Linked DNA regions of Cricetulus griseus. The protein of the gene in region 2 interacts with the protein of the main gene of each other region in a pairwise test. Links are inferred from orthologs where the notes say so. Each region holds a gene or a part of one and is shown on either strand. Other genes may lie near its edges.

The links. The genes of interacting proteins can lie anywhere in the genome.
Region 1: the proteins of Gad1 (region 2) and Haao interact in a two-hybrid assay, tested with the Homo sapiens proteins (4 studies listed by BioGRID and IntAct). The two-hybrid records come from large-scale screens. The link is inferred for Cricetulus griseus from reciprocal best matches to the Homo sapiens genes GAD1 and HAAO.

The regions. Positions count from the first base shown.
Region 1 is NC_048598.1:85,454,603-85,457,507, reverse strand, and holds part of Haao (3-hydroxyanthranilate 3,4-dioxygenase), read left to right. Parts: intron 1-831; coding exon 832-921; intron 922-1,186; coding exon 1,187-1,230; intron 1,231-1,502; coding exon 1,503-1,648; intron 1,649-2,905. UniProt on the Homo sapiens protein: Catalyzes the oxidative ring opening of 3-hydroxyanthranilate to 2-amino-3-carboxymuconate semialdehyde, which spontaneously cyclizes to quinolinate.
Region 2 is NC_048599.1:104,598,308-104,601,807, forward strand, and holds part of Gad1 (glutamate decarboxylase 1), read right to left. Parts: intron 1,725-3,500; coding exon 1,646-1,724; intron 504-1,645; coding exon 354-503; intron 1-353.

The DNA.
Region 1 (2,905 bases), on a different chromosome or scaffold from region 2:
GTGGCCCCATAATGAAGCTTCCTGGTAGCCAGTTCCATCTCAGGGTAGAAGCTTGGGGGGAGCATGGTATGTCTACATCCTGTCTCTCTCCATAGGACTGTCCCTACTTTTCTGGTGAGAGTTGAAAACCAGATAGAACTGGACTGGTCTGGAGCTTGTTCAGAGATTGGGCATTCTGGGGACAGTTGCCCCCAGCACCTGCCTTGTGCTACCTGCATAAGGGCCAGTGGGACAGCACAACTCTGCCTGCCCCGGTGTCCTGGCTATGGGGATATGGGTCATTGCAGGGGTGACTGAAGACTGTGTGTGTACCACAGAAAGCCAGAACTACGCTCAAGTCCTAAGAAGCAGAGGTGACCTCTGACCTCTGAAACAGAAGAATCCTTCCCTCATGGTGTGTGTGTGTGTGTGTGTGTGTATGTGTGTGTGTGTGTGTGTGTGTGTGTGTGTATTCGCATGTGCGCTGCATTGGCTACTAAAGTTCCTGTGTATGATGACCTAGAACCCAAAGAACAAACTTCAAGCTGCCCAGGACACACGCTCAGATTCAACTTCCTTTTGCTGAAAACAAACACACTTGGATTGAATGTTCTCCAACCTTCTGTCTTAAGCGTAGCCCTCTCTGTCGTATTTAAGCTGTGTAACGCCTACCTGCTTCACACATGCCAGGTGTCAGTGTGATCCCTGGGCTGAGCCAACAGAGGTAACAAAGCAGCATAGCTATGCAGTGCCTGGGCTCAGAAATGCGTGCTTAACCAGAGCCCAGTCTGGACCAGGCTGCCCCTAAGCTTCCCAGATGGAAGCTCATTACCTTGAGCTCTTTTTTGGCAGGTACTATGTAGGGGACACTGTCAATGTCCTCTTCGAGAAATGGTTCTACTGCAAGGACCTTGGAACACAGTTGGCCCCCATCATCCAAGAGTAAGTCACCAGCTTGGCCCCACCCCTCACGGTCCTTCAGTTTTGTAACACCCACTGGACTTGAGCCATCAGGTGTGGAATTAAAGAGAGTCTCCCACCTTGGGGATAGGATGAGATGCTCTGCTGGGCTGGGAGGGAAAGTACGATAGGTGATCAAGTCATTCGAGGCTCTATGAATGTGTCCTGGCTCCTGCGTATGGTGTATGCCTCACTGGCATCCTAACAGGAGTGCTGCCATTCCCCTCCTGTCTGTTTGTCCCTGCAGGTTCTTCCGCTCTGAGCAATACCGGACAGGAAAGCCTGACCCTGGTGAGGCCGCCGACAGCCACATTCTCCTTCTCTTCCCTCTCTCCCTCCCTGTAGTGGATTGGGTATTGACCCAGGAACCCCGGGGTCCTCTGCCCAGAACTTCAAGCACTGAGCAAATGACACCAAGTAGCACCCAACTATGGCTGTTCAGCCATTAGGTTGCACCCAAGACCCATATATGCTATTGTGTTAGGGCCTCTGGGACCTGGGAATACTGGGGCTGGGTGGGCTGAGCCTGGAGGTCACTGCTCATCATTGTGTCGCTGGCACAGACCAGCTGCTCAAGGAGCCACCATTCCCATTGAGTACACGATCCGTCATGGAGCCCATGTCACTAAAGACCTGGCTGGATGGCCACTCCAGGGAGCTGCAGGCAGGCACATCCCTCAGCCTGTTTGGGGACACCTATGAGACCCAGGTAACACTCAACATCCATCCGTCTGGCACCTGGGAAGTGGGAAGTTGTGTGTGTGTGTGTGTGTGTGTGTGTGTGTGTGTGTGTGTGTGTGTGTGTATGTGTATGTGTAAGAGAGAGAGAGAGAGAATAGCTTTCCTGTTCTCTGTCTCAGAGTAACAGTATTTCTGTGGATGGAATTCTCTGGTAGATTCATGGTCCCACAGACACTTTTCTTTCAGAATGGGAAGTTCTTCACCCATTGTCACCTTCCTGGGTGCCTGCCACTTACCTACCCCTGGACTTTTGGCACATGGGAGCTTAGAGGCTGAAGGGAAAGAGTTATTTGGCAGAGGGCCGGGCAGCAATGTGTAGCGACCCTAACAAGCTGGCCTTTCATCTAATATTGCTCCTGCTTTGGTAAGAACAAGGCAATTGTTATGGACAAATTAACCCACAGCTGCCAGTCATGTGACAGCTTATTTACTAGAGTAACCATGGGAAGTTCTAGAAGGATAAAGAAAAAAAGTCAAGGAAGGCTCCTGGAGGAGATGAATTTTTTAATTAAAAAATTGATTTATAGCCAGGCGGTGGTGGCACACGCCTTTAATCCCAGCACTGGGGAGGCAGAGGCAGGTGGATCTCTGTGAGTTCGAGACCAGTCTGGTCTACAAGAGCTAGTTCTAGGACAGCCTCCAAAGTCACAGAGAAACCCTGTCTCGAAAACCCCCCACCAAAAATTTCTGATTTATTCATTTCACATTTATGCTTCTGTATGCTAGCCTGCGTGTATGAAAGCACATTACATGCTTGCCTGGTGCCCATGGAGGCCGGAAGAGGATGTTGGACCCTCTGGAATTGGAGATACAGATGTTTATGAATGACCCTGAGGGTCCTTTGTGAGGAACTCTAGGCATCCCTCCAGCCCCCAAGTAGAACTGTAAAGCCAGTGTACAGGCTTGCAAGAGGATGGGAGGGAGGCAGACAGAGCATTCTAGGGAAGGTAGAAACACAAAGTTTCGAAGAACAGAAACAGCCTAACCCTGCAAGCAGTTGAGGCTGGCCAGAACTAAGTGGAGAAGTTAGGATGGAAACTAGATTACTAACTGTTCCTGGAACTCTGCTGAGCTATACTTAGGGAGGGGACATGTCCTAGAGACAGTGGGGCTTCACCCAGGCATTGAGTGAGGAGACTAGAGAGGCATTTCAAAACGGTCATCCTTCCTTCGTAAGGCTGAGTTAGAGGACAAGGTGTAACAGGGAGCCCTACAAGGATCCTGG
Region 2 (3,500 bases):
GGCACATGAACACTCACACTCATAAACACACACATACACAAAACAGAAAAAAAATATTTTTTTTAATTTAAAAAAGAGTTGTTATGGAAGTCATTATCTTGGCAAAATTTTTAGTAAAAAGAGAATTGTAAGACTAAGACATTTCCATGTTAATTCAAACTAAGATGAACGAGCTGAAGAAGAGAGGGTTGACACAGGGAGGAAGTTACTCCGCTCACAAGGAAAATATAGTTAACTCAGTTATCCAGACCCAGTTACGTGTTCAGTGGATTATCTTCCATTCATCGCTGCCTGTCCTTCACCAGCTAGTCTGTGCTAGCCACGGTTCTGGTTCCTGGATTTCCCCCTCATACCTTTGCTTTCCACATCAGCCAGAACTTGAAGATGTCCACATGGCGGCCACACTGAATCGCCTTGTCCCCAGTATCATAGGAGACATCATACTGCTTGTCTGGTTGGAAGAGGTAGCCTGCACACATCTGGTTGCATCCTTGGAGTATACCCTGTCATGGAAATCAAGACACAAGCAACTGCATTCACCAGTCAGAGCTGTGGGTGCAAGGATGGATTTGGGAACCACACCTCTTTTCTTCTCAGACCTTTCGTGAGTTCAGATGTCCTTTAAAGACACTCTTGGAAAAAAACCCTGCCTGTCTGCCCCCAACCCTGCCTTGCCTTCTGTCACTCTGGTTAGAAAATGTCCTCTTGTATTGGATGCCTACAAGGGCCTCTAAGGGACATCTGAGGTTTGTCAGATTCAAGGAGGAGTTATGTTGTCCTTCTTTGGGCAGGGCTTGGTGTACAAACTTCAGCAGGTGGAAAAGCTAGTGCTGTGAAGAACTTCCTTCCCCCCAGACACTACCCCTCCAAGTCTTCCAATTTATGCAAGACATCCTATGAAATTAAGTAGAGGAGAGCCTACGTGGGTTCTGACTCCCACAAGAGACAGGCTGGAGTGGGTGCCTCTCCTGCAGCAGGCTTATGAAACATCAGAGCACTGGGTGTGGGGGAGGAAGAAAATCTGTCTCCAAAGCATTTACAGAGCTTTCTTAAAAATTACACTTTTTTATTTGCATGTGTGCACACATGTGTACAGTATGATGTATAGGGGAGATCAGAAGACATCTGAGGGAGTTGGTTTCTCCTTTCACCATGTGGGCCCCAGGGATAGAACTCAGAGCCTCATGCTTGTCAGCAAGCAACCTTTACTCACTGAGTCATCTTGCTGGCCTTACAGAAGTATTCTGGCTAACAGTCCCTGGTGTCTTAAGCCAGGATTTGTGTTTATCGGTCCATCTAATTTTTTCAGCTCTGGAGACTACAAATATCCACTAAGAATTCAAAGTAGGTTCCAGTGAGCACGGTTTGTTCTTATTGATTGAGTGGCTCAGTAATCACACTCAGGTCTGTGCAGACATGAAGAAATACTCAAAGAGTTTCACTGAAGGGTCTATCACCAACAGGGACCCCAGCACTGAACAAAGACAAAGGGCAGCCGACAACAAGAGCTGAGGGGAAAATATAGGTTAGGTTGCTGGGAGGGCATACAGGACAGTCTGCAGGCTCATAATGGGGCTGCCAACCATTCCTTTCTCAAGCACTGGGATGTGCTTGCTGCCGGCACATCTCTGGAGGGAGTACAAACCTTTTCCTTGACCAGAATGGCTGAGCACTGTAGCAACACGCCCATCATCTTGTGTGGGTTCCAGGTAACCGAATTGGCCCTGGAAGACACATAGGAACCTCTGAGAAGACTGGAGCAAGGTAGAGAAGATCCTGTCATCTTGAGGAAAACTGGGCCCATCTCCAATGAGATCACAGATGCCCTCCTTGCCCCATCTCCTAAACAAGGCAGGCAGGCTGTGGGCCATCTCTTAAGGTATTGCACTGCTGAGTTCTATATAACTGCTAATAACAACAGCCGCACTTGCTTACTTATTAAGTGTCCTATAACATGTCCTCAGAGCTCTAGGTGTCTATGACTGGAAATGTGGCTAAGGACTCGGGCTTTACAAGTGTACTGTGCAATTCTAAAACCTAGTCCTGAGATTTCCTAGCTTGTGTACATTACAGAACTCATCTTTGCTACAGAATTCACATCTATCTCATTAGAAAGGAATAAAGGTGAAAACACGTTCATAAAACATGTAATGCTTATCACAGAGCTTGGTAGATGTAATTCCCACAGCAACACTGTGATGCAGATATTGCTATTACTTCTAGTTTACACAGGGAAGCTGATGCACCGATAGGTTACCCACACTGTCAAAAGTCTATGGCTGGTAGGGACTGGATCCAGGGTCCAAGCCGATGGTTCTCTGCAGAGCCAACACTCACCATCCACACACCAGACTGCCTTCTTCTAGCCAATAGCCATGGACTTCTTCCTGCCTGTACTGTTCTGGTTTAAAGAAGGGCTGGCGATGAGGACCAACCTGCTGATGGCACACCTGAGTGCAATGATCAGCCACGCTGCCAGAGACTGGGGCTAGCTAGCAGCGGCGACTGAATGCGAAATGAGCATGGTTTTCGCCAGTCTCGGCTGCAAAGCTCACTTAACAATTGTGGTCTCCTAGCAACTGCATCACTCTGTCAAACACAATTAGATGACTAAGGAACACTAGCTAGGACATTACAGAAACAACCGAGTGTAATGTATAATGATTCAGACTTGGGAAATTTGCTCCGGTGAGTTGCAGACCCTTTTCTTGATGGTCTTGGCCACAGCTGGACTCTGTGTTTCCTCTGATATCACAACTGCCTTGGAAACAGACTGTCTGTGCTCTCCCAGTGCTAAGCCCTTGCTGTGAGTTTTTAACCTCATCCTTTGGTCCTTCGTGGTGTGTGTGTGTGTCTGTGTGTGTGTTGAGTTTCAAGAAGGGGGCAGAGGTTAAAGAACATTTCCCTTACATGCACAAAAAGGAAGTCTCATGAAAGAGAGAAAGAGACCTGAGAGGAATCCCTGGTAAGGTTGACTAAGTGCTGACATCATAGAAGAGAATCCCCGTCAAGCCAATTTCATCATTGCTGTCACATATCAAGCTATTAATAATTATACTTAGATCTCATAAATGTCTTTAAAAATGATTTTCTGAATGTCCTGAAAGTAGGAAGTAAATGGTTCTCTGCTGCTGCAAGTGGAAGTTAACAGGACACGATGTGGCTTTGGCTCCCCCAGGAAGACATTCATGCTTTAAAGTAAAAAGAGAGTAAGTCTCGTGTTAATTCTTTCACCTGTTCCTGGATCCAAGGATAGACAATGAGAACCCTCTGAGGAGTCTGAAGTACAGTCGGGCTGGCTCATCAACATTTAGTATATTTTCCTCTGATTTATAGCATCCCATCTTTCATCTTTCACAAGTCAGTCTCGTGTTGACAATGGTGTTTCAAAAGAGACAGAAGGAAACAGGCAGCTATGAAGCCAGAGCTGTTCCTAGCAGAGTGTTCTGATGAACTTGCCTGGCCCAGTTTTCTTACTGGCCTGCTCTCCAGCTCTCCTG